7 linked regions of the Danio rerio genome follow. The protein of the gene in region 6 purifies or fractionates together with the protein of the main gene of each other region. This does not show direct contact. Links are inferred from orthologs where the notes say so. Each region holds a gene or a part of one and is shown on either strand. Other genes may lie near its edges.

Region 1 (3,500 bases), on a different chromosome or scaffold from region 6:
GGAGGTTCATCCCAAAACTCCTTGGGCAAAACTGCACTTTGTGGCAGGACAGAGCTGGAGCAGTATATACCACTATCAAAGAGATCCTTCATGAGTTGCACAGAGGCAAGTGAGCTGGACAAGAAGATGTTGTGATGTTTACCCTCAAGACCCTCTGTGAGATGTGGCACAACTGATTTTCCCAAGTCTTTGTGCTTCTCCTGTCGTGTTGAGACCAGCAATTTATGGCAAAAGCCTGACTTTGAGTCACACAGTAGCCATATCCTTGGCTGAGAATTTTTACTCTTCTCCTGAGCCGTTCCCTTATCATGGCTCGGTAGGAAAGCTTGATCAATTGTCAAGCACTTGTTTGGACTGTAGGCCTCTTGCATGCTTTTCTCCAGGATGCTCAGCATCGGCTGAAAAAATGACAACTTGTCAGCACTCTGGCTGTCATTCTCCACAAGCATGCTGCTCATTCGGATGTAAGTGCTGATCTGCTTAAAACGATTCACTGACATGGTCCTGTAAACCAGCTCCCATGTTCTAGAGCCATAGCGGCCTTGGTGTTGTTCCCAGGTCCAGTACGAGTCCGGTTCCACCAGGTTTTGAAGCCCCATGAGGATAGAGAGACCAAAAAAGCCTTTGATTTCCTGTACAGACACAGGGTGCCAAGATGTGTCCCCCTGCCCTGAAGAGCAGCAATAAGTGGCATAGGCGTTGGTCTCACAAACAATCAGCTCAAAGAGGGCATCAGGAAACAGAACCTGGAAGTAGTCGAGGACATCATGATTCCTGGTCATTATATGCCGTGGGCCACAACGTTCCATGAACTCTGGCACTGTTCCTTCCTCTTTGGGCACATTCCACTGTTTCAGGGACAACCAGTCAGGCTGTGTCCCAACATCACTAGCTTCATCCCCTTGTGGACCCTCCACCTCCTCCTCAACATGGCAGAACTCAATATCTGTCTCCAAACACTCTGTAGGGGAGGGGAGGGATTATAGGAACACAGAGTTAGTCTTCTCCTTGGAGTCTTTACCATCACCAATAATCCATTTTATAACATGCTCAATGTATATGTAGTTCTGATAGGTCAGTTAGCTTTTGAAAAAGAAAATAATAAGCAGCTCAGAAGCAGCAGATAACTCCCCGATGGTTACTCCTTGACGTTATTCATTTGTCATGTTTCTAAATTAATCCATTTTAGGATTTTTATTTTGTACTTCTTCTGACATTCTCCAGTTCAGGCGGTGTGCGGTAGATTTTTGTATGTAATACTCAATTACACATCCAGAGTGCTCTCGCAAAGGCTTGTCAGTAAATCCTGTGAATTCACACCAAGTGCAAAGGGGCCATGTTTGTCCATTTTGACAATGGACAGTTTGAGCTCATACCCCACACCTGTGATTGCTGAGCATCACATATTGTGGGATATCACTCAAGACGGGCCACTTTGCAAGTGCCATTGACGTATGTCTATTGTATGATTTAGCTAAGAATGCACGGAAAATGTGTTGACTAAAGAATCCTTCTTTATTGTAGGTGTCTATCAACAGGATAAATAACATTCAATCTGTGAAAATACATATGCAGTGATGAGCAGGGTTTGTGTACCGAGCCCTTTGCACATGTAAGAAGTTAAGACACAATGATAAGTGATAATTTGTAAGTGAAAAGGTTAAATTTGATGAATATGCCATGATGCCAGTAATTTAGTTCACTGTATTTTTACTTTTGTGTCAATGCTGTATTAGTATAAACATGCAATTAAAGACACCTACAACAGAGTTGGATACCCTCTAACTACAGAAGTACGAAAGCAGAGAAAGAAAAACGAGCATGCAGGTTAAGAGGCCCATGCAGTAAGAGAAATGCAGTAAAAATACAAGTATGCTGTAATGTTCTACTGAGCTAGAGAACACCCACCTTTGCGCATGAATAAACAGTAGGAGTGATCAGGGAACTTGATGAGATGTTTGGCCATCAAATTTCCGTGAGGAGTGGAGTATTCACAACCTGCACAAGTCAGCTTCACAACGCTACAAAAAGAACACCAAAATACCCATAAGGTACAGTTTCAGACTGAGCAAAACAGAACTCAAAATCCAAATATTACATTACCTTGGAGGCCCCTTTTTAGAAGGTTTTGGAGCCCTTCCAGGAACATGATTGCTGAAATTAAAAAAATAAATTGCAATATGTGACTAAACTTCAAGCTGCAATTTCCAATGAAACTGTTTTCTTCTGTACATATATATTCTTCTGTATATATATATATATATATATATATATATATATATATATATATATATATATATATATATATTTGAGCCGCTCCGATCAGGATTTTTACAGGCAACACCAAGTACTGATTTCTTGTCATGGTGATCAACCGATACAAAGTACCAATTTTGATGCTTAAAGCTTTACATCACTTTGCCATATAATTTCACATAAATTTTATATATATATATATATATATATATATATATATATATATATATATATATATATATATATATATATATATATATATATATAAAATTTATGTGAAAATATATGTTTGACTCAACTTACTTGATCATGTGATTTGCATAAGCACGAGAACAGCACGTGCTATAGAAGCAGAGTGAACAGTGAACATAAGTGGGGTAGTGATTCACAAAGTCTGGAATGTCAAAAGTGCACTCCACACACTTATGTCTGCCCAGTTGAGCCCTGGAAAGAAGAGAACCAGAAGTAAACACTTCAGAGTTGTAATTTCCAGTGGAAATGGATCAGTTTATCTGTTATCTCATAACATGAGCTTACCTCTGCTCCTGGAACTTGGACAGGAACTGAAACATCTTGCTGACCTGTTTCTTCCCAGATTGCTGTTGTTCTGATTGCTGGTCGCCACTTAGAGTTGTCGATTGTGAACTGCTAATACTATTCTTCTGAATATTAGTGGATGCTTTTGAAGCTGACTGACCTGGTGTTTTTTTCCCAACATATGCCCTAATGGTCACCTGAATATGAAGAATAAAAATAAATAAATCAATTAATACTATATTTTTGCACTTGTTGCAAATTTACTCTCAGTCTCACATAAACAAACAAACAAAGATTTTACTTTTGTTCCAGGCTGCAGTCCATCCAATTCACGGGGCTTTCGGAAAGTCCTGTGGTGATTTATTTTATGCTCAACTTTGTCCTTTGTGAAAAGGAACTGAAGACGGCATTTGTTACAATGGTAAACTGTTGATTTCTGAGGAAAAATAGAATTACCACATAATTGTAGAAATTAAGTTTGTCTGTTAAGTTAAGAAATGATGGATTAATAAATAAATTAATAAATAAATACACATTTAATGTTTTCACAGAATACTAAAGCAAGATAAATGTTCCAAATGTTCTAGAGGAGGTGAAAGCAGTGGTAATTTCTTCAACAAAAGTAAAAACGAAGAAAGACATTGTTGCCTATGGCTTGAAACAAGCAGAAACTTGACATGTCCGCTGCATCATTAACATGACTGAAA
Region 2 (4,208 bases), on a different chromosome or scaffold from region 6:
AGACCAAGGGTACTTTAAAGGTGTTCAGATGCCAATGCTACCTTTGATCCATTTCAAACTCCTGAAAATGAACCCTTTTGCTCTGCCATGAATTGGTTCAAAATAACAGTCAATTAATAGATTTAGCTTGAAGCATGTTAGGTCCATGTAAGTTTTAAATGTATCGGTTATGTTAATTTTGAAATTGTAAGACCATACAGCATTTTTCTTGCTCCAAAGTATGTATGCTTTTGCGCTTTGTAATTTTCCAGGTTGCTGACATGCACATATTCCACACCAAAGGAAATATTTATAGATTCCAGAATATACTGATATTTAATGCCTGTTAAAGGAACTAAATGAATTTCACAACGTTCTTCACATAATCACTATCAGAAAAAATTTTGAACTTAAAAAAAAAGTTACAGGCTCCAATAACATCAAAGCTTGCATTAAGAGGACACATTAGTCAAATATTCATTTCATGCTGATTTAAATGTAAAAGACAATCAAGAGGTAATAAAAAAGGTCTAAAATCAAACCTTAGAGTCTTGACCACACTCCAGCTCTCTTTATTAAGTTGAGCATCTTCCTCTTCCTGAAAGGTCGGAGTTTGTTCAGGCTCCTTATTGTCATTCAGCTTCCAAAGCAAGATGGCCGCATCTTAAGAATAAGACACTACATTTAACTTTTTACAGCCTCCATACACAATTTCAGCCAAGTATTGGAATGACTTTTAGCTCACCATCTCCCCCAGAAGCCAACACTTCAGCAGTGGGTGAGAAACGCACTACATTCACTGCTTTCGTGTGTCGTGCCAAGTTAGACAAAAACTCAACGACCGCTTTCCCATCAGGCCCTTTATCCACACGCCACATCTGAAAATGAGAGCAGATCTCATCTTACTATATGAGTGCGTGCGATGAACATCAGTACAAGTCCAGAAAAAATAAAAATGAGATAACCATGTGACATTAATTGTATGTGTGAACTTTGCATACAGAAAGTTTGCAGCCACAGTCTCCATTTTAAATGTTAAAATAGCTTCACGAGTAAAAAAAACGTTGTCTTTTAAGAAGATGTCTAAGAACGAAGATGACCCAAGCTGTCATGTCAGCTTCAAACATTAAAAGACAAATCCTCAGCAAAAAAAGGAAAGCGTAAGTAGGCGCAGAGTCAGGATAGCTTTGAGGGATGCTGGGAAAGTATATTTGAATCGATGGAAGATGAAGGTGAGTGGAAGAACTGTATATGTGATTTGATCCCTCTCCCTCTCTCCTACTAAACATGCTGAGGAGCGCTAAACAGAACAAAAACAGTTAACCTATCAAATAAACCACATACCATGTATAATAAAGCTGTATTAATGCATATTTCCTGCTAGTTCTGTGTAAACTATGGCAAGCAGAGTTTATGCATTCATTTATATCAGTTTGAAGTAATATATACACAGGTGCACTGCTTGTCTAAATAAACTACAACATTTAGTAATGTTATAATATTTAGCTATGTGATAATTGATTATTGTCTGTACTGTAAGAAGGACTATGTCTTGTACATTCTTCATGCTTTATTTTCAGCTTCTTTTTGATAATAATAAACTTGAAAATATGAATCTGAAGCTTTTGTTACGGCATTAAAACTAAGATAAACGAATCAGATCTTTAGTGTTTTTCAAGTGATGAGTTAAACTGTTTTTCCACACTAGTAACTGGACATATACCGTTCTTCCGCTTTTGAGATTGTAAATCACAATAATACTTTATTTTTAATACTAACACTGAACAATGTTATCTCCTCAGAGTCAAGGAGCTTTTGTCGTCTATCTTCAAGTAAAATAAAAATATATAATATAATGTTCACAGTCCAAATGAAGAAAATAGTATTACTTAAAATGTGAAAATATAGATTATATGGTTCTTCGTCTCAAGGTTTCATATGATATCTCAATTGTATTAATTTAGGAGGCACTTGTGATGTATGCCAATAAATCTAAGCAGAGGTTTTTTCTCTCTCTCTTACCCGGACTGTGGTGTCCACTCCAGCAGTGGCCAGACGCTGTGTTTTTCCATCACCGCTCTGTTGAAAGTCCAGACTGTACACTGGCTCCTTATTATGCCAGGCAATCTCACAGGTTACAACCTTCATCCTGGCACCTGATGGGCAAGGATATGACGACATGAAATATTAATATAATACATAATGAAAATGAAGGAAGGGGGAATATGAGAGAAATAATAGACCGCAGAAGACGATAGTTTGACAGAGGGCATACACTTGGGAAAAACTAACATAAAAAAACTATTGAACAGCTTCACCACAGCACAGTAACACACGGTCTCTATACTAAGCTATCAGTGAGGCTGAAAACAAATAACGTTACAGTAAACAAAACCAACACTGCACACATCTGAAACAAGTCCATAAACTACAAACACAAATATGTATCTGGCGAGAACCATTATTACAGCGTATTTAGTGAAATATACCAACATTGCAGTGTTTTGGTATCGTTAAATACTTGTTTTACGAACTGTTAACGCGGAATTTGGAACAATAAACAAACGTTAAGTACATCACAGCTGTTCTCGAAGAGATATATAAGTAAGTAACAAACATAACGACGGTCAATAACAGACGCAAAATATATTGTAATTACATACCGGTTACTTCGTCAATCGAAGCTGCGACAGTCGGAACAAAAATGTTTTAGTTACTTCGTGAACAAGTCCCGCTTTCACCCAAACAGACGTCTTTCCCGCGCAGCTTTCTGACAATGACAACTTCCTGTTTCACGGGTTGCCAAATCCCTCATCACAAATCCGCCGTTGGGCTGTGGCGTTTTCAACATCCACTTGAAAAGCACATGTCGATGTTCTGAAAAGTGCCAACAATATAGTTTTGTGACCAGTATTTGGCAACCTAAAATATTTACAGCATTGGAAAAAGTTAAGAGACCCTTTGAAAATTTGCAGGTTATCTGAATTTGCTAGTTATGATTTTAGATAACGTTAAAATATTTTGTACTATGTAAAGGTGTAATCAAATCTATACCAATTTTGAAGACAAAACAATCTTTGTCTTGCAGTAAATTACAATTTGTATATATAACAAATGTTTTTTTTTATTGTGATTTAAGTAATTGAAATTGAATAATTGAATAAATTCAATTAATTGATTAATTAATTGAATTAAGCTATTGCACCAAATACTGATTTCTTAACATTTCTGAAGTAAAAGAAAAATGTTATTGTGTTGTCTAAAATGTTTTGTTAACTGTCTGTAAAGGTGGGATAACATTTCTATGAAATTCCATGTAAAATATTTGGGAGAAGAAAGGTGATTTAGGTGACTTTAAATGAGGCATGGATGTTGGTACCAGACGGGCTGGTCTGAGTATTTCAGAAACTGCTTATCTACTGGGATTTTCATGCCCAACCATCTCAAGTGTTTACAGAGAATTATCTGAAAAAGAGAAAATATCCAGCAGTGAGCAGCAGTTCTGTGGGCGCAAATGCCTTGTTATTGCCAGAGGTCAACGAAGAATGACCAGTGGTGCGTTTCCTGAACAACAATGTAATTCGTGGCTGAGCTATCATAGTATGATGTATTGTTTGGGAGAAGAACGATGTAGTGACGAGTTTTTCCCAAAACCTGTAGTTTTTCTGTTGCTGATTCATCGCTTGAATCACATTAGTTATAATGTAAAACACCCACAATGATGCTCTAAACGGAGTGGAGTAACTACTTCTTTAGAGAAGACACCCATAATTTCTTTGTGCAAATTATATTGTTTTACACAAACACGCATTTAGAAAAAATCCAATATTAGTTTTGGTAAAAACAAGCACTCGTTTTCCATATAATCCGAAATATATGTACATGACACATATAGGGCCTAAGTTTCCTTTACAGATATTATTAAGAACATTACATGTTCTATTCTAAAACATAAAATCACTTACAAAAGCTAACACATATTCTAATCTGATAAATCATGTACATAAATAAATAATGAGGCTATTTATTAATAAATAAAATTTTATATTTATTATTCATTAGGAAAGAAAAAAAATCCTACTTTAATAATAATATTAATGATGACGATTATTATTATTGAAGTAGGATATTGTTCATTTTTGTAAAAAGTCTACTTTTTCAATTTGACATGTATACCACTTCAGAAATGTGCTAACCAACAGGCCTATGTCATATGCAGTAGCCTACTA
Region 3 (4,211 bases), on a different chromosome or scaffold from region 6:
TAATACGAAAGTTTGCTGTTGTTAAATACAACAATTACTATTATTACAGAATCATCTAGTTTAACAGTATTATCAGTGTTAAGAATAATTACAGTGACATTTGTTTTAGGAATACTTTATTAAATGTTATTTATATTGCAAAATATTAGTTTTAAGCTCTTATTTATTATATATGTTTGCATATAATAAAAGTATATTTTAAAAAAAATTACATTTGTTATTACTAGTATATGAATAGCAGTTCCGAATAGGGCTGGGCCAATAAATGATATTAAATCGAATCGCTCCAATCACAGCAGAAATGTGCAACAACAGAAATCTAGAACTTTGTTGATATTAGACATGCAGCAAATTTTTGCCCACCGACAATTCATCAGCTGAATTTATGTTATGCCATTTAAAGTACCCTCTAATTTTTGTGGCTTCAGTCATTGTTGGGCTACTCTTTTAAATCTGGATGCATTAACAACTTACATAGAAATGTATATCGTTACGGTTCAATATAGAAAACAATTATCAAGACTGCATTTTTGCCATATAGCCCAGCCCTTGTTCCGAATGCCAGTTCCTCCTATTGTAAATCTGAAATCCTTTCTCAATTGTTATGTAGGATAAAAAAAATTGAAACTTGGATTTCAAATAAAACCTAATGCTTTACAAATGTGTTGTTTTCTGCTCACCTGTACTGTTTGCCTCTTCCCATCTGTGATAACTTTTCTTTTGTAGTCACACAAATATTCCACTTCATAATCACACAGGTTGTTCCTGCTGATGCCGAGCTCTTCGCACACCACTCCCTCATCTCGACAGACCACCTCCAGCTGCTCTGTCGTAGCAATGCATGCTACCCTGCAAACTTGAGCTATAAAACATGATTACATGTCAATTTTAGAAAAAAAAAGAGGTAAAAACGTGGGTAAAATCTAGATTACAGATGCGGACACGCACATCAATATAGCTTCATTTTTGTGACACTGTACAAGAATATTTATACAGTACTGTGATGATTGGGTTTAGGGTTGGAGTAGACGTTATAAGATACAATTTATTGGGTAATTTAATAAATTACATGTTTAATACTCAGTACAACTACTGTTTTTACATAAAAGTGATGGTTGGGTTCAGGGTTTGGGTAGGAGTAGATGGTAATAAAATGCAATTAATGGGAAATTATATGAATAATAAATACAATTTTTTTAACTTTTGGCTGCAACCATATCCGATCTAGCAACAACCGTAAAATTGGTGATGACAGATGTGTGCACGCTAGTAAACACGGCTAAGCTGTTGCTAACATACATGTAAACTAAAACTTTGCAGAAAGAAACATGTCAAAATAAATAGCATGTGAAAATAATATTATTGGTTAACATGCATACACACACACACATGACAAAATATAATTTTCTTTAAAAAAAAATTTTATGAAACAACCGTAATCACTACTTTGTACATATTTTGTTATGTTACTTAAACTATTAAGTTGTTTTGAAATAATATTACAAAAATGTATTGTAATGTACTGTGTATTTGTAAATGTATTTAATTAATTAAAAGTGAAATAGTCTTCAAATAATATTATGTAGCTAATAACATGGACTACAAACATTTTCAAGATATTTGATCATAAAACTCTAAAAACCAACAACAAACCAAAGCCAATTAAACCAACTTACAATATTGTCATGTTATCAAAGTAATAGCAACATTAAAACTTCTTATCAAAATATATTGTGAGAATAGACTCCCTAACAAGATAGTGATTATAGTTTCTCGTATAACTTTAATAAAATATATAACGTTAGATCTACAAAAACAATACAAAAGAGTAATGTACAGATCTGCTTCCTTCATGCTTTATGGAATAACGTTACATTAGTAAGTTAATCTTTACAGGGCTGGTCGCGAGCATCTTCGCTAACCAATGGGCCATTTAAACACTTTAACAAAGCTAAACTAAGAGTATTCACAGGCTGAATTGGTATTTTAGTGTATTCATTTGCTTTTAAATATGAATTACTTAGCAAAGGAAAATAAAAACGTTAGCTAAACACCGAAAAGTATGCTAAAACTGCGCATATGCGAGATATGTAACATTGTACAACTTAACAAAACTTCAGAAAACAATCTGGACAGGGGAACAAGCGATTGTCGAAGAGTTTGTTAAACGTGTTTCAGGAGCGCGCGCTGGCCATAACACCGACCTACCGTGAATTTGTATCAGCAACTTGCAGCAAATAATGTTTTAAAACTCGGGGCTTATTTCCGGGTTACCTCCGAGAAAACATGTCGTTTAACCAACTCGGGCTATAGATCAGACTTATATTGAATAAACTGTTGTTTGTGAACGATTAACACGGCATATTCTTACCTTTCAAATTTTCCGCCATCGTCTCACGCCGCCAAAACTATGGAACTAAAGGCTGCTCGGTGGTTGGATGCGCCCCGTCTGAGTGACGGGTTGAGCAACCAATAGTGGCAGAGTATTTAAATCGGGAAGAGTTTATGCAAAATGCCACATTCGTTAAATGTGTGAACTTTGAGGAAAAATAGATCTTAATTTGACTGATTTTACAGGCAGATATGGATAATATTTTGAAGACACTAACGTTAGTTATCTGTGAGATGCTTTCCATTTAACGGTTACCCATTTAATTACTCTAGAATGGTTAATTTTTGGTGTCCAGGCGAGACAAAAAAGTCAATACGATTTTTTGAACTAAGGCTTTAATTTCATAATCTAACATCTAGGAAACAAAAAGGCTGTTTACGTCACTCAAAGTAAAAACGGAGATGTGCTGTAAAGTCTTTTATTTTGCTTTTCGCCGGTTATGAAGGCGGCATAGATCTATCTATGCGAAGGCGGGACATGTAGAGTGTCATCGTCACGTGACAGTGTGACGTAAACATTCATGAACTTCCGGGAAAAGTCAACAAATGCGTTGATGTAAATACTGTCTGTATGTTTGTGCGTTTAGTTTTGCATTTCTGCGTGTAACATTTTATGTATTTGTACCTCCTTATGTAATTTTATTTCCTCTAAAATACGCAATATAGACAGGAGAAGGCCTAAACGGCGAAACCGGTTGTCTGCCAGCCTCTTATTAATGCGGCATAGACCATTTACTAACTGATTATAAGTACATTGTTTACAGTACAACCATCACCTTTAGCTAAACGACAAATAATTTAAATGTATTATTTTACAGGCGTCATGTCCTTCATTGCACAAAGTCTCCGGACACCAGTAATTTTCCTGGCGTTTCTTGTTCTCATAGAAGTGGTGTCGTTTGCTTCTGCAGATAAGGTACAGTTTTACTGGCTTATTTTCACCTGTATTCTTATGTTTTAAAACCTCTATATGTAAATAAACGTGAAAAAAGGCAACATTTCGAATGTTACCAGGTTTTGACATGTTATTAATGCAATTAGCATTTTTCATTCATTTTCCTTCGGCTTAAGTCCCTTATTTATCAGGGGTCCCCACAGCGGAATGAACCGCCAACTTATCCAGTAGATGTTTTACACAGCAGAAGCCCTTCCAGCTGCAACCCAGTACTGGATTAGCACTTAGCATTTTTTTATAACAAAAAAAAACTAAAACTAAATCTTTGGAGTATTAACCTATACAAACTACTCCAGAAAAGAAACCTTAATAGTTTGTCAATAGGTTTACATTTGCACGTTAATCAGCAAAATTGTGTAAAAGATGTCTGAGATATGGAGGAAGGACTTACTGAGGTTGATGATATGATTTAACAAAAGTTTTTTTGACCCCCTATATTTATACTAATGTGCTTTATATACCTATCCTAAAAATAAATAAATGAGCATAACTCTAACATGAATTGTGTATAATTTAAAAAAAGTTCAAATTCCTTGCTAAATACTGTGCCTTTCTTCATTTTAGAGAAATCATTTGTCTCTTTCTGAAAATAATATGTTGCTTTCACAGAGTTTTGAAGATGTGCGTTGCAAGTGCATCTGTCCACCTTACAGAAACATCACTGGACATATATACAAAAAGAATGTGACCCAGAAAGACTGGTAAGACTCTAGACCAGGGGTGCCCAAACTTTTTCTTATGAAGGGCCAAAAACCAAACTTGATTGAGGGTGGTGGGCCGAAGCTAAATATACCAAACTGTATTACGTTAAAGTTGTCATAGAAACTTTTTAATTTAATAATATTTTAAAATATATAGAAATTTT
Region 4 (3,984 bases), about 970 kb from region 6:
CCAGATTAAGACATGCTTCAAGTCCAAATTCTCCAAGAATATTTTTTACTTTTCGCCTTGTTCTGCGGATCTTCTCCAAACCTTTTACTGGAAACTGGTACATGGTGCAACACCTGAAAGAGATTTATATGTCATTATATTTCATTATTCTGTGAATCTTATAATTATCTATAGACGATTATTAAAATCATCTAGCCTAATTATACAGTACTACAATAAATACTCCGTAGTATTATAATATTATTACACAAAAAAAATGTAAACCAATTTTCTACTCTGTTTGCTCAGGTTGTTTTTAACTATTTGGAATTGCTAGCTAGCTAGGTCTAAACACACAACCATTCATAAACTAACTAAATAAATACATTTTGGAAAGACATTTTAGCCTGGAAACTATTTATATAAAAACAAGACACTATAAATGGAAACCATTTGTACTGTTCGACCAAGATTATTGTAAAGAAAAATGAAGTAGTTTTGAATGTTGGTAGGGATATGCCACTATCAGCTCAACTAACCTGCAGTGGTTTACTGCTTGTCACTGTGTGTGTCTGTAGAGCACAAAGCTGACACCAACCTATATACAATTTCTATAGAAACCAGCATGGATATATATACAAGATCCTGAACGATTGCAGTGTACAGTGAGGATCAAAATACAATCAGTGCATAACAGTGTGTACATTCAGTCCAGATTTAAATAAATAAATCAGGTGAATGGGCATGTGTGAACAAAGCCTGAATTGCTTTTGCTAATAATTAGGATACTCAAGAAAGAAAGAAAAAAAATAGGACAGTTTATTCCAACCTGGAAAATCATTTCACGTGACAAATTCACTGTCATCTTCACTTGTTAAAAACCTGCTTTAGCAGGAGGAATACATAACACAAAGGAATACATACTGAAGAATGCTGAAAATCATTGACTTCTATGACATGTGCTTTTTTTTTACTTTGGAAGTCAAAGCTTACAGATTTTCAGCTTTCTTCAAAATAAATTATTTTGCGTTCAGCATAATAGTGAAACTCAAAGGTCAGGAACTTCTCAAAGATGAGTAAATAGGTAGTATTTTCAAGACATAGCATGCACTACACTTTAACCAATCGTTACTTAAAACAATATTGCCTACAACAATTTTCCATCAACAGTCAGACTATCTGTACACCTATTCATTGTCTTAAATGCATTACTGTCAACACTGCTAATTGTATATTGTTTTTGTTTTTTGGGAATATGTTGTATTTTGCACTGTCTGGAGCCAGCACTTAAGCTTTTCACTCCTCATAGTACACGTACAATAAAAAGTTATTTGATTTTTTTTTTGGTGAACTTATTTCAATTAATGTAATCTTTCTCATTATTATACATAAGTAAACTAATTTAAACACATGCACAGATTGCAATCTGTGCATCTATATGAATGCAGGGTCAAGCACATGCGCAGACGTTTTCAAAGTTTTTAAAATGTATTCCAAGCAAATAAATGTATATATGTACAATATATGTAACCCCATTATAGTATCATAATTAGCTGTGGTAAGTGTAACAGTATAATAGCATAATGTGCATATAATATGATACATTGAAATATATAGATAAAAGCATATCTATTATTAGCCTTATCCCTAAGTATGCATTCAGCTTGCATAATTCAGGAACAGATAAGCATGTTTTAATTTCAAGTATATAAGTCTGTCACAAAAATAAAATTAAACAGATCTTAGGGACATTTTCCCTCGAAGTTCAACTCTTATACAATTATAAATACGATGCTTGTTTTCACTTTTGACTTATGAGGCTGATTTAACATCCCATCTCCATTGCTCAAAAACAAACATGAGATCCTAGCATTATAAAAATGTGCATGCTAGTGATGAAAGGTAAAGAAACATTAAGTGTTTGTTTTATTTATTTATATATATATATTTTTGACCACATATATTCATCATCTCTGCCTGTTGAATGTGTAGCGCTTTCAACACAATCTGGTGAATTCAATAGCAAGGCTAACGTTAGCTAATTATTGCATACCGAGAACAGCTTTGTATTACCGAACATGTGGAAAAATCATTTTGTGCTACATGTCAGATATTGGGCACAAATGCAGGATAAAAATGACAAATTTCGATTCTGCATCGATTAAAATAAACTAATCCTAACTGCAAATGACTGCACTTCCATGATCTAAATGTGCCCAAAAGCATATCCAATTCGAGCTGTAATTATTTATTTATTGCAAGCATTAACTGCGACCGCTGCCCAAACGTATAAAACCCCGCCGCCAAAAGCACACGGAAATTTCCAAACAATAGCGTCCAGTGTAACTCTATAGCCGGGCGAAAATAATATTCCAAGAGCGCCGCATCGATAGAAAAAAACCGACAAGAGCGATTTCACATTGCAGGAAAAAAGACTCCCTTCTAGAAAGCAAGATTCCAAATAGCGCAGTGATGTCATGAAGTAACCTCTTCAGAGCACTCGGCTAATGCACTTCGTTCTACTTCCTGATCACACCGACCGCGCGACAACTGAACGAAAAAGCTAATGTTCTCGCCGCTATCTAATTGTGAGGACATTAGCTTTTTTCGGCGCCACACACCGACCCAGGGAGATTTACCTACTTTCACCAATCCGCGTGTCTGCCAGAACCGACGAGTTAGGATGATGAGACGATGTAAGGATGTTCCAACAAGAAGTCTGTGCTCTCAGTTATGGAAATCAGCTATTAATTGTATTTATTAAAATTTGGAAGTAGGACCCATTTATTGTGCTTGCCGTTTAGAGTCGAGAAAATGGCGCATTGAACAACTGGGAAGTGACGTCAAGAGGGTAATTATCATACTGCGAGCCTGACCAATCGGATTTAAGCAGGCTTGACATGCCAAAACTTTCTTTTGTATGACTTCTGCTGGTTCTCAGTTGTAACCACGTGGGGAAGCATAATCAACTTTTAAGTTGAGACTTAGTCAGGTTGTGGTTACTTTCTATGTTTCATGTATTCATCATGATAAGGCATTTTCATTCAAGAGGTCTGGCCACTAGAGGGCGCGGTTTCTTGTAATTCACATGTAGAGCCACTAGATGGCACCTTGAACAATGAGCTGGTTGCTGAGCAACTGCACAAGATGGGAGGGGTCTTGTTGCTGAAGTCATCTCACACCACTAGTCTTCATCCAATGGGTGACCAGCAAGTAATAATACTAGCTAAGGCATATAAAAAAATTGCTTGGCATTTACGGTGCATGAAATTTCTGATGATCCATTTTTGATTTTATGTCATGACCAACAGTTCCATCAGACATAACATTGGAAGTTTTTTTTAGTCTTAATGAACGGTTTGATCAACACGATAGTCGCTTTTTTTGTTCGAAAATGTAATTTAAAAAAAATTTAAGTCACGTTTGCAAGTTTTAAGTGGGATTTTACTAGATTCGATAACATTTTAAATAATAATTATGATCATCGTAACATGCATCGCACAATTATTAACGAATTTTAGTATTGACGCAATTAACGCATCTATTTATTAGGTTTGTTTATAGATTGATTTTTTTTTTACAATTTGAGCGGAGTGATGTAGAGGCTGGCATGTCAAACGTGATGAAAACTGAAAAAAATATATTTTTTTAGAAAATTAAATTTTCGAAATTCGCAATTTTGCGATTTATTTATGACATTTAACTCACTCACTATGTAATGCTTAAGAATTAATTTCAAAAAAGATAAATTTATAAAATCACAAGTACTTGAATAAATATTAATTTGTGGACCCAAATTTTCATAATAATTGACAATGTCATTAAAATACAATAAGTGTCACCTCATGAATAAAAGTTACAGTAATCTCACAGTGCATGTTTTATTAAGTAACATTTAATAATGTCTGATGCAGAAATGTTAGCACTTGAAGTGTCTTGTTTTGATGTTACAAAACAAACTTTAGTGACGATAATTGCTTAACCATTGAAATAATCATAACAAAT
Region 5 (4,193 bases), on a different chromosome or scaffold from region 6:
TCTTTAATCTAGTTTTGAACTGGGAGAGTGTGTCTGAGCCTCGAACGTTATCAGGAAGGCTATTCCAGAGTGTAGGAGCCATGAAAGAGAAGGCTCGACCTCCTTTACTTGATTTTGATATTATAGGTACTACCAGAAGCCCTGAATTTTGAGATCTTAAAGAGCGAGTTGGATTGTAGCGAGACAGAAGGTTTGGTTAGATAAACAGGAGCTAGATTATTTAGAGTTTTATAGGTGAGAAGTAATATTTTAAATTCAATACGAAACTTAACAGGCAGCCAGTGTAAGGAGGATAAAATTGGGGTTATATGATCATATTTTCTAGACCTGGTCAGAACTCTGGCTGCTGCATTTATATATATATATATATATATATATATATATATATATATATATATATATATATATATATATATATATATATATATATATATATATGTATATAATCACATTTTAACACATTTCCAAACATAATAGTTTTATTAACTCATTTCTAATAACTGATTTATTGAGTTATTATATACTGATGGTTTGTTCTGTAGACTGTAGAAAAACAAAAAACTTAAAGGAGCTAATAATTTGGACCTTAAAATGGTGTTTAAAAAATTAAAAATGGCTTTTATGCTAGCCGAAATAAAACAAATAAGACTTTCTCCAGAAGAAAAAATATTATCAGACATACTGTGAAAATTTCTTTGCTCTGTTAAACATAATTTGGGAAATACTTAAAAAAGAAAAAAAAAATGTCTTAAAAAATGTCTTCTTTTAAAACCTTTACAGGTGTGAGACTACATAAGAGTGAGAAAATCACTTTATTTAACTTAAATAAGTAAATATACAAACAAACTGACTACACAAACATATAAAGAAACATATAAAAAAATAAAAATAATTAAATAAAAACATTCCTGTAATGGTAACCCATTCTATACAACAGCCACAATTGTTTTTACAGTTTACCAAACCTCATTACCTATTTATCAATCAGTTTAAACAATTGCCAACAAGAAATGCTCACGACAGTCTGTCAAAATGAAAGGAAATTTCTGTCAATAAATATTACTGACCAAACCATCCCTAGGTGTGCAAGTCCACCTTTCCACCATCTTTCCTGTCTTTTTTCAACACAAGCAGCAACTTCACCTAAGAAGAATTCACTCTGTGTCTGTGGAATATTCCATATCGCGAGAGGGGGGCTACAGTACCTACCACAACCACAACTCTCAATAAAGACCAAATGCACAATTCCTCGGTGAAAAACTACACTACCTTAAATTTCCACTTTCACTTTGAAAGGAAGTAAACATTTTGTCGGGTCTTAGTGTGTGGTGTCATTTGTGAAAGCAGAAACCAAACATCCCTCTCGGAGTTTTAGTTCAACCTGCAGAATTTTAGGCAAAATGGCGACATTGTAACGGATGGAGGACGAAAAAAAAAGGACCGTAATCAAGTACCATGACAAACTTGCCCCGTGTTATAGTGTCATTCTCTGGGAAGGTAGGTTTAAAGCTTACGAACGTCTTCCCTTGCCGGATGTGTGTTTAACCGTGTTGAGAGATGAGAGCGCGATGGGTACAGTGAGTCCTTGCACGGGCACGAGAGCTAATGTACACGGGCATCAGGTATGTCAACACACCGTGCAAGTCACGAATCCTGCAAACTAACATTTCACCCTTCCGTTGTCATATACGCTATAACTCTAAACAGTATTGTATTTGGGGGAAAGTTGGACGCTCTTCTGCATCTGAGGAGCGCACTTGCGAGGTTTTTCGTTTTCACCCTGCAACACACTTTATACACACTTTTACAAGATGGGTGTCAGAATCGATGCAAAGCGACGTCAGTCACCGGATGAGACGAGCCGTTTTCCATGTCAGCTGGGAGTTTTGTGTCGCGGCCTCTAGTCGCGGGTTTGACACTTGAAGAGCGCAGACGCGTTTAGACGCTCGTCTTGAAGGCGCTTGGCGCGACCTTGATTGGATGGAATCTGTGCGCAACGCGTTTGCGCATCGTGGCAAACAAACATCCCGACAGCCTATTGCTTTCTGTTGGAAATCTCAGTCGATCGTTTTGAATGGTGTTTAAAAATAGGCCCTTTTAAATGATTTGTGTTAGCCACAGAACTTTTAATGGCTGTAAAACGCACATTTTATGGCGTGAATGAAATCACTGAGTGACATAATAGCATATCTCTCACAGGCTGTCCACTTACACATGATTTTGATAAATCTTACTTTACATCCATTAGTTTTAGCAGATGCACAAACTCTGTTCTGCTGCATGACAACTTTTTGTGGCAAACTAAGATCCTGCTTCAACCTTTTTTTCTGTCCTAGATCTTTGCCAGCCATGTCAAGAATCAGTGTTTTCTTTTGCTCACTAGTCAAAATGTTGACTTGAAAGAATTTGACTTGTCAGCTGTATCTCACAGGCTGTCAACCAACACTCAAAAGTCACTTTTGAGTGTTTATTTTAAAAATGTAAATACATTGGATAATGTCTGTTTTATTGGACTTTAGCACACTTGTAATTTGGCCTTAAGCATGATGCTTCACGTTAAAAGCAGTATTGCTGATGTTCAGAAGAATATCACAGTTGTCAAGAGATATTAACGTTTCTGATTTACTGATTTTTTTCCTCTTTAGATACCTAGTAATTCATTTTACTTTTGACAAAAATAGGCAATAGCAGATGTCAAACGAAAGGCTTGCTGTTTAGATTATTATCTTGGTGTTTCTGTGGTTATTGTAGAAGTATAACTAAACTTCTGATTGTGTTAATACTTAATTTTATTCAATGTTTTGTGTTTTCATAGGCGCTAAGTACCATTTTTTAATGTTTGGATCAGGTCACTAGTTCTTTAAAACTTTGCTTTCCATTCTTATTTATCTAAAGCATAGCTTCACAAAAAGGCTTTTCATAATGCACTTAAGTGGTTAGTTCACCCACAGATGAAAATTATGTTATTAAATACTCACCCTCATAAGATTTTTTTATATATTTTATATTATTAATATTAAGATATTTGGAATTTTCTTTAAGTCTAGAAAAGTAACAAAAAATATCCTCTGTACAGACCATATGCCTTCAGTGGTTTATCAGAGTATTATCAATCTACAAGAATGTTTTTGCACACATAAAACCAAAATAAACTACTTTATTCATTCAACTTTCTTCTTTTTCTCATTGTCAGTATAGGGCACATGCTTTCATGAGTACAGTGGAGTGACATACAGTACCTCTTCGGATGCCCATGCTCCTTTGTTTGAAGCACACATGCATCCAAGGTAATATGTTAGCAGCATAGTCAAGCACAACACATGAATATGCACCCTATACTGACACTGAGAAGATAAAGCTGTTCAATAAATTTCTTATTTTTGTTTTATGTGTGCACAAAAGTATGATAATATTCTAAATGGCAGTCTGCAGGCATATGGTCTGTTTTTAGAATGTGTGTGATGTTGTAGGGGGTGAGTCTGGAATTTGTAAAAGGGCTTAAATAGTTGCCCTTTAAATTCTAAATCTTTTTTTATTAGCCCAGAAAAATATCTATTATCTGTATATTTAATTATGATCATTACATAAATGAAAATATTTGTTTTAAGTTGCTGATAAAATATAATTAACCCAAAAATATAATTATCGCAACATTTAAGAACAATAATGAATATTTCATACTGTATTTTCACAGTAACGTGCACCCTTACTTTTTATAGGCATGATAAGTCTAATAGGGCCCAGTAAATAGGGTCAGAGGTTTTAGTTACTGTGCGAGAGGTGAAGGATTTTACTGGCTCTTTTAAATTAACATATTTAATTAAATTTCATGTTTCATGCTCTCAGAATACTAGTGAGCTGTGTAATACACTGTAAAAAATCTGTTAATTAACAGTTCCCTTATTTTGTGATTCACAAGTGTTTTCCATTTATGTACGGTTGTGAATTGCATTATAATTTCTGCTCTGTCGACATATGATGTTGAAAATTCAATAATTTGTCTAACTGTTTGTCAACAGATTGACAAAGTGACTTATTGATACTTAAGTAGTTTGAAATAATATAATGTATAATAAATAATATATAGAGAAATAAGTCTGTAAAATTATGAAAATGTACCAACAGTTTATTACAAGGTTTTTGTAACGTAATATAGAACACCAACCCAGACAATATATCACATTAAACTATTA
Region 6 (4,158 bases):
CCTTTCTTCATAAAAAGCAATAACTATCTGCGGGCAACGGGTGTTAGCCTCTCGTGCGGGAACCAGGTCCGCTTCATCAGAGTCCTTCCTGTAAACACAAGACAAAGAAGTTTATCTAGAGACCAAACAGAACAATTAGACTAGGAAGTACAGTGTTGCACTTCAAAACAATGACCTCTGCATTGCAAATGAGGTAAATTATCTTGTGGATGCTTTATTGAAGGGATGTTGAAAACCTAGATTTTAAAACAAATGTATTTTGTCAGTTTAATTTAAAATATGGATATGGATTCAAACACACACACACACATTTATTTTTTTTTCATAAAAAAAAAAAAAATTATACCATACACCTTTGATTATATATAAATAATTGTGTCCTGAGCAGTAAACACGTGGAGCACTTCTACACAAATTAAAAATTTAAGTTAAACTACCTTTTTGAATAGAAATTTGAGATGGATTGTTGGTGATTGTATGAGTTTTGACCAGATTGGCTAGCAATACACGAACATAGGAAAATTAAGACTTGTTTAAAAAAAACATTCAAGACTTACAACACAGAGTAAATGTAAGACTTTTAAGGCCTACATTTTTTATTTTGGGATTTTAGACATTAAGACCCTGCAGAAACCCTGAATAAAAATAAGCCGACACAATGAGCCCTCCAGTAAGCCTCTTTATTTTTTAATAAAAAGGTTTTATGCGTGGGACTGCTGCCCTCTACAGGCCTTTAAAACAATCTTTAAAATGAACTCAAATGTTATTCCAAAACGTTATAGCTTTCTTTTGTGGATTGTTTTTCATACAAAACAAACAAACATTTTATTTACCAAGTTAAAATAGGTTTCAAATATTCTTCATATAGTATGACTTGTAGAAGTTGAACAGATTCAAAACAAGATCAAGACTTCCCCCACTATTTTTTCTCAGCTAAACATGTTCTAAATCAATTACAAAACCACAATAGTTTCTTACCACTTCATGAGGAACATGAGCTCCCCGCTGCTGTCAGTCGCCCCAATGATTCTCTCTGGTTCAAGGTTTCTTGCAAAACCCCTAGGCTTGTCAGACTACAGTAAAAAAACAAAAAACAATATTAGTTTAGATTTAGCAAATTTAACCAATGTTAAAAAAAACATCACATCTGCTAGATATTTTAATGACCAACACAACATCTTACCATTTCCTTCTTTCGTTTTGCCTTGCTCTCTTCTGTCTCTGGTTCATCAGTGGATGATTTTCTTTTTACAGCTTCTGGTTTTTCCACCACTCCTTTCTGAGACTCAAGGAATGCGGCGATCAGCTCTGGACAGTCTAAATTTTCTTCAGGCTCCCAAGTGTTGTCAGCACTGAGGAAACATAGATACCTTGTTAAAGAGATAGTTTACTAAAAACTGAAAATTGTAATTTACTGATCCTTCACTTGCTCCAATCTTGTTAGATTTTTTTTCCATTGAACACAAATCATGTTTTTTGAGGAGAGCTGGAAACTTGTTTACATTAACTTTCACAGTATTTGCTTTTCCTGCTGTAGAAATCAATGGTTACCGGTTTTCAGGTTGCTTTATATTATCTTTAGTGTTCAAAAAAAAATCATTAAAAACTGGAACCACCTGATGGAGAGTCATTTTCCCCTACAATCTAATAGCATACAGCTACACTCACAAATCAAAATATATGCAAAAACAATTCCGTTTATTTTTCATAGCTGCAAAAGAGACGAAGTACTCACTCTGTAAAGCCTTTCCACTTGAGGAAAAACTCAACTTTTCCATTGACCACTCGCTGGTCCATTACCTTCTCCACCACAAACTCCTCAATCTCCTGAACTTCCTTCTTTGACTTGCCTGCCTGCTTCTTACCCATGTTGACCTAAATGCACACACACACAAATGACATCATAAACCAGACCTTATCATTCATTTCAAGTACTTTAAATTTAAAATGTTAAAAATTTAAGACTCTGCTCTTTTTGTATCAAAATAACAAACGAAAAGGTTTAACTGTTTATGACTTGTAATATAATAGTAAAAAGGCTAACGTTAATGTTTGCCCATTTACTAAGAAATTAAATGATACTATATGCTAGGGGGGTTCTCAAATCCAGTGATGCCTTTACGGCTAGCCTAGGGTTAAAAACGCGTTAGTATGTGGTGCCTTTTAAGTGTGCTTGAATGTTAGCGAGCTAATGGTAACTGCGCATGCATGAACAGGCCAAGGGCCCTGAAAGCGTTTCAAACTTCCCACTCGAATTTATAGCGGTTTAAGATTTCCCGGCGAACACACAGCTCGCGTGAACGTATAACTTTCCACAAAAAAATATTGTTCGCTTAATATTTGCTGAAACACGTGTTGGTTTACAGTAGCCCGCGTTAGCCAACTTGCTAGCAGGAAATGCTCACAGAAACAGACAAAACATCGCGACGTTACAAAACATTGTGCAATATGCATCCTACATTTCTGTAAAGTGAAACAACTTAAAGGGCTTAAAAGCAGATTTACAAAAATAAGCTAAAATAAACAAGACTGCAGCATTCAAACAACAAACTACAATGGACGGTGCTGCAGCACGAGAGGCATGCGCGCGAAACTCACCATGACAATGGATAAGATAAAAACTTGGATAACAAATCTTCACGCCTTCTGAACTGCAAATGGCTTTACAGAAACTGCTCCCGCGCCAACGAAGTACGCACTTTTAAAAGTTTTACTTACTTGATACTAATAAATCAAGAAGAAAAGCCGACTGAGGCTCGACGAAGGCCAGCCAGAATCGAACGCGAGGACGTAAAGCCACGCCTATCTGAGAGCAATCACGTGTATCCAATGAGTCTTACGTTGGGCGGAGCGCCTGTGAATTCAAAAGCACATCCGCAGATTACCATGGCAAAACATCTCGATTCAGTTATTTTGAGAGATACACCGTATCACTTAACTTCAATTTAAGTGTTCACTCATTAAACAGATCTCTAAAACAGATTCTCTATATGTTTAGCCTATTGCCTACTACATCCAGAACATGACACAACAAAGGGAGAACGGGGTAATGTGAGATACCCCCTGTATCTAGGCAACGAATTTTATATATCACTCTATAACAATTTTGTTTTAAAGCCCCTTCCATATCTCCTTTACCATGAATAATAGGAATTCCTGGTGCTTTGGAAAGCATGAACTACCAACATATAAAACGATGTGAGTATGCTAGCTCAAGATTAGTCTGAATTGCTAAAAAAAAAAAAAAAAATTTCTAAAATGTGGCAGTGGGGTAAAGTGAGACATTAGGCACAAGTTAAATTTAGTCTACCAGATTGTAGGACTTGTGAACGAGGCCTTCAAACGAGCAGTGACACTTCGCAACATCACTTCTGGATTTAGGTCCACTGGAATTTTTCCATGGGAAATTTTCCTTGATAAAGCATTTTGCACTATTCATGGTGTCAGACTAGGCAAATCCTGAGCTCCAGCCTGGCACTACAGAAGATTTGGATGATCTACTTCCTGCAGATGATCCACTTACAGATAGTTCACTAACTGATGCTATTCCATTCAGTGCGCATATAGTCTACATGGATGTGCCATGTGTTTCTAGCCAACCTGGATACATGTCTCTTCATGAAATGCTACCATTCTCAAATGTCTCCCCAGAACACAATCCAAATGAAACCGTGTGACACTTGAAAAGGCCTATAAAAAAAGACAAACAAAAAAAAAAACACCAAAAAAAAGAAACAAAAAGCTTAAGAATAGCAAATAAAAGGAAAAATCAAAAAAAAAAAAAGAGAAAGCAACCAAAAACAAAATCATAGTTAGCAGCTCTGGGAAAAATGATGTCCCTGTCTTAGTTGATAATGTGTCTGATGAAATGAGCTCTAAGGATGAGAGTAGTGGTCCAAGAAACACAAATCTGTCTTTGGGAGACTTTGTCATAGATAACTTTGCAACAAAAAACACAAGCGTTTATTACACTTGCATGGTTAAGGAAGTTGAGGATGACGAGATACGCACATCATGGTTTTGCCAAGTACGATCTGATCCTGGATCAACATCTATGTTTATCCTGGAGCATCATTTTTGTTGGAAATTGTAATCCATACCTATTCCCTACCCCTAAACCCAGCCATAACTGTACATTACTCTCAAAATCAGAGGGGA
Region 7 (3,500 bases), on a different chromosome or scaffold from region 6:
TTGGGCAGGTTCACAGGACTTTTCAGAATCTGAGAGTGAGCTGTGAGAGACAGGTTTGGGCAAAATAGGTCTTCTCTGTTTTAGAAACTTAGCGAGGAGAGGCAGGGGCACACGTTCAGGTCTCTTGTGTGGTAAGGTTTTCTTCATTTGTGCCTCGGGCTTGGCTTCAGTACTTAGAGAAGAAACTGTCTCCATTTTTTTTTCATCCGAACAGGATAGATTTTGGTCACTTGATTTCAATGTATTCTTGTCAGCACTGTGTTCATCAATTTCTTTTTTAATCTCGTTTGCTTTTAATACACCTGTTTTTAAAGACGTGTCTGTGCTTTCACATCTGAGAACATCACCTGCACCATTTCCATCTTTTTGATCAACCTGCAAAGAATTTTCTGTTATGGATGATATATCAGCTGCCTCCTTTTGTTTACTTGTGCAAGCAGTAGATGGCTCCGTGGCCCCACCAGTTTTGTTGATATTCTCAAGTGATAACCTTTTTACTTTCACATGAGCACCTTTAATGAAGTCGGAGAATGCCAATGAGGATGGACGCTTCTTGTTACTGTTAGAGAAAGAGAGATAAGATCAGACAGAAAAACTTGTTAGATTTAGCAAAAAGGTAAATATGTACAATGAAAAACATGATAAAATAAAATAAATGCAAACATTTAAGCCGTAGCTACATAACTCTGTCTATATGCAATTAATGTCATAATGGGTCAGGAGAATCCTATTGATAATATTAGATAAACCGTCAATATGTTTATGGCTCAATAATACTATATTCGGAAATGTAGAAACTTTTGTGCGTCATGGTTTCTTTCTAAAGCCATAGAAGAATGCATATAAATGGCATGGTTTCACAGTGAGTATCTTTCTTGTGTACTACATCTCCAGCTAAATCAAAATTCTGCTTTCGTTTGACAAATTGTTAAAACTACTTACCACAAACTTTGAACATTTGTGTCTACAGCTGGCGCAGCACCATTAACAACTTTATTTTCTCCATTTGTAGGGTTGGGAACGTTTTGATTCACATTGACCTTTACAGAAGCTTTTCTCTTCATGAACAGTGTTTTCAAGTTATTCAAGGTTGTCATCTCCTTGCTCAGCTTGAGCTCACTCTCTGTTTCATCAGTAGACAATCCATTCTTGGCCTTAGATGATCGCGCATTGACCGCATCCTCCCTGAAACCTTTGGCAAAGGGGTTGTAGTCAATCTTGAGCTGGGTGATGCAAAGGTTTTGATAGGCTGTGACTGCAAAAAACTCAGTCTGAGCAAAACTGAGAGTTACAACATTGGGTCTGTCCAAAATTAGAATGTCTTTACTGACTTTGTCTGCAGGTATAATATGAATTTGTGGAAGGTATCGGTGCATTGAGTGCAAAATAATATGGCCCTCTTGATCCAAGGTGTTGCAAAGTTTCAGTCTGTAAAATGAAACAGGGTACTGCATCCAATGTAAGCCACTAGCAGGGGATTCTGGGTGTACAAACAACCGTGAAATATGAGGCTCAGCCTTCCCATTGGGTTCCCATCCTTTGCCACTCCATTTATATCTGCAGTTATCAGCAGGTTTAATATCCATTGCCAAAACGTAATTCTGGAAAGGTTCCATTCCAGAGAGACGAAACCGGCAATAGGGGAACATTCTACGTCCTTGTTTAGTCAGAATCATCTCTGTCTTACATCTATGGAACTCGTTCCACATGTTGTTGTTATCCAGGGTCACAGTAATGCCTCTACATCTAGCATCTGCTGGCAAGTTCTCAGATGGTGTGGTGCTGTTAGTGTCTGCAAATGTGGAGGATGTTGGTTGAATGCCTGCCACAGTAGTGCCAATTGAGGATTTCCCCATTTTATTTGCCTCACTAATTGCCATTAGATTAGCCTTGTCATTCCCACTATCACTAGATTGCAACTGTTTTAAAACAACAAAAATGGAAGGTGGAGTGGTTGTGGGAGGTGCCAGTGTTGGGGCAGTCACGCCCTCTTCATGAAGCACCATTGCACCCTGTTTCTCTGTATCGGCCATGGGAATTAAGTCATCTGGATAGCTTCTGACCCTCTCACATTAGGGTATATCAGGTCTACATCCTTAAAAAAAAGAAAGAAAAAAATGTGTATATAACATGGGATTTTTTGACAGCTAGCAACTGGAAAGCTTAGCACAACATTAACAGTTTGTGTTACTTAATAGATTACTACTAATCAGTCGAAGCCCTGATTGGCTTCAGTGCAGAAACTTGTAAAAGACCAATTTCTTCAAGAAATGCACTACCTTATAAATCTTCTAACACCTTTATGGAGAAATGTTTGAACAGTTAGACTAAAAAGTTGTGTATTGTGCTTTGTGTACTACATACAAATAATCATTCATCATAGCAAGGCATTAGCCTCAAGTTAATACTCGTAAGGGCATCTAATAAGTCCTATCAGTCCTACATGCTGGTCTAGGGTAATTGAGGTATGCTACTGCACCTTCCAAGACAAGTGCAGGGTTGAGATTCAACTATGCATTAAGCTGGCAATCCATGAACAGTGTTAAGTAAATGACTTACCAACTAGTAACATCTAGCTCAGTAAAAACAAATAACAAGAACATTTGAACATATTCATGTTGACATTAACTGTAAAAATGGGGAGGAGCCAACACCAAGAATATCATACTTATAAAATAAAAAAAATCTACCTTGAAGACAAGCTGTACACCAACCAATGGGTGGACTTTGGCTATTTCCACCTTTTATTATAATAATATAATTTTTCTGTAATAAATAAAGTGCTCAGCCAGAAACTAAGTCTTAAAATATGTGTGATCTAAATGTGAAGATTGCAAATATGAGAGTTTGAGATGGTTACCAAACAAAAACACTTGCGCATCTCAACTAAGCTTTTGTTAGCAGATTATTGAAAATGGATCCTAATTGCATGTGGAAACAAAGTCTTTGAATGACACCAAAACTGACTAGTAAAAACTGACTTCAAAACAATGGTTTCAAAAGGTGAAAAGGAAAAAAAGAAATGTTGGCCTCCACAAAACTGATTTTAATGAAAATAACTTACTTCTTTCTTTTCATGAAATTGATACATTTGTAAATATAACAAGTAAATGGGGGGTAAAGAGAAAATATGCACACGTAAGGAAACCTCTTTGGGAACAATCATTACCATTCTTGTAGTTGCAATTGGAGCCACTAGTTGCATCATGCTAAAAACAAGGTAATGGGACTTGAGTTAAGCCAGTTTAAACCAGCTTCAAACTAAACAAACAAATAAAAAAGGTTAAATACAACGTTTATTTAAAATATACTGTGTGTGACAGTATTTGTAAACAATACACAGTCATGAAAGGTTTTTAACTCAGGATATGTGACTTATCTGTTTGGTTAGAACATTATTTGAAAAAAAAATGTGATGGGAAACAGTTTTGACAGAGTAAATTCCAACTCAGACACTTTTTAAATATTGTTAAAATACACATTTAGTGAATGCATATAAT

Evidence for each region.
Region 1: the proteins of cbx3a (region 6) and pogzb purify together in Homo sapiens (affinity purification with mass spectrometry; 7 studies listed by BioGRID and IntAct, with this or other methods). This does not show direct contact. The link is inferred for Danio rerio from reciprocal best matches to the Homo sapiens genes CBX3 and POGZ.
Region 2: the proteins of cbx3a (region 6) and chaf1b purify together in Homo sapiens (affinity purification with mass spectrometry; 3 studies listed by BioGRID and IntAct, with this or other methods). This does not show direct contact. The link is inferred for Danio rerio from reciprocal best matches to the Homo sapiens genes CBX3 and CHAF1B.
Region 3: the proteins of cbx3a (region 6) and suv39h1b purify together in Homo sapiens (affinity purification with mass spectrometry; 3 studies listed by BioGRID and IntAct, with this or other methods). This does not show direct contact. The link is inferred for Danio rerio from reciprocal best matches to the Homo sapiens genes CBX3 and SUV39H1.
Region 4: the proteins of cbx3a (region 6) and adnp2b purify together in Homo sapiens (affinity purification with mass spectrometry; 3 studies listed by BioGRID and IntAct, with this or other methods). This does not show direct contact. The link is inferred for Danio rerio from reciprocal best matches to the Homo sapiens genes CBX3 and ADNP2.
Region 5: the proteins of cbx3a (region 6) and znf644b purify together in Homo sapiens (affinity purification with mass spectrometry; 3 studies listed by BioGRID and IntAct, with this or other methods). This does not show direct contact. The link is inferred for Danio rerio from reciprocal best matches to the Homo sapiens genes CBX3 and ZNF644.
Region 7: the proteins of cbx3a (region 6) and mgaa purify together in Homo sapiens (affinity purification with mass spectrometry; 4 studies listed by BioGRID and IntAct, with this or other methods). This does not show direct contact. The link is inferred for Danio rerio from reciprocal best matches to the Homo sapiens genes CBX3 and MGA.

Annotation. Positions count from the first base shown.
Region 1 is NC_133191.1:42,534,308-42,537,807, reverse strand, and holds part of pogzb (uncharacterized protein LOC561483), read right to left. Parts: intron 3,230-3,500; coding exon 3,095-3,229; intron 2,991-3,094; coding exon 2,794-2,990; intron 2,701-2,793; coding exon 2,560-2,700; intron 2,155-2,559; coding exon 2,104-2,154; intron 2,022-2,103; coding exon 1,909-2,021; intron 962-1,908; coding exon 1-961. UniProt on the Homo sapiens protein: Plays a role in mitotic cell cycle progression and is involved in kinetochore assembly and mitotic sister chromatid cohesion.
Region 2 is NC_133184.1:32,230,240-32,234,447, forward strand, and holds the start of chaf1b (chromatin assembly factor 1 subunit B), read right to left. Parts: upstream 2,801-4,208; 5' UTR 2,643-2,800; intron 2,136-2,642; 5' UTR 2,128-2,135; coding exon 2,002-2,127; intron 858-2,001; coding exon 725-857; intron 643-724; coding exon 522-642; intron 1-521. UniProt on the Homo sapiens protein: Acts as a component of the histone chaperone complex chromatin assembly factor 1 (CAF-1), which assembles histone octamers onto DNA during replication and repair.
Region 3 is NC_133183.1:27,656,540-27,660,750, forward strand, and holds the start of suv39h1b (histone-lysine N-methyltransferase SUV39H1b), read right to left. Parts: upstream 2,801-4,211; 5' UTR 2,391-2,800; coding exon 2,372-2,390; intron 863-2,371; coding exon 681-862; exon of another isoform or gene 1-680. Other genes in the region: proton-transporting V-type ATPase complex assembly regulator TMEM9 isoform 1 precursor, read left to right, coding at 3,194-3,307, 3,956-4,047. UniProt on the Homo sapiens protein: Histone methyltransferase that specifically trimethylates 'Lys-9' of histone H3 using monomethylated H3 'Lys-9' as substrate. Also weakly methylates histone H1 (in vitro).
Region 4 is NC_133194.1:23,184,666-23,188,649, reverse strand, and holds the start of adnp2b (activity-dependent neuroprotector homeobox protein 2b), read right to left. Parts: upstream 2,801-3,984; 5' UTR 519-2,800; intron 114-518; 5' UTR 104-113; coding exon 1-103. UniProt on the Homo sapiens protein: May be involved in transcriptional regulation. May play a role in neuronal function; perhaps involved in protection of brain tissues from oxidative stress. May be involved in erythroid differentiation.
Region 5 is NC_133181.1:27,125,221-27,129,413, forward strand, and holds the start of znf644b (zinc finger protein 644), read left to right. Parts: upstream 1-1,393; 5' UTR 1,394-1,418; coding exon 1,419-1,497; exon of another isoform or gene 1,498-1,622; intron 1,623-3,193; exon of another isoform or gene 3,194-3,247; coding exon of another isoform or gene 3,248-3,287; intron 3,288-4,193.
Region 6 is NC_133194.1:22,210,534-22,214,691, forward strand, and holds the start of cbx3a (chromobox protein homolog 3a), read right to left. Parts: upstream 2,801-4,158; 5' UTR 2,602-2,800; coding exon 2,599-2,601; intron 1,876-2,598; coding exon 1,736-1,875; intron 1,353-1,735; coding exon 1,184-1,352; intron 1,074-1,183; coding exon 979-1,073; intron 89-978; coding exon 1-88.
Region 7 is NC_133192.1:11,762,556-11,766,055, reverse strand, and holds part of mgaa (MAX dimerization protein MGA a), read right to left. Parts: intron 2,096-3,500; 5' UTR 2,034-2,095; coding exon 943-2,033; intron 560-942; coding exon 1-559. UniProt on the Homo sapiens protein: Functions as a dual-specificity transcription factor, regulating the expression of both MAX-network and T-box family target genes. Functions as a repressor or an activator.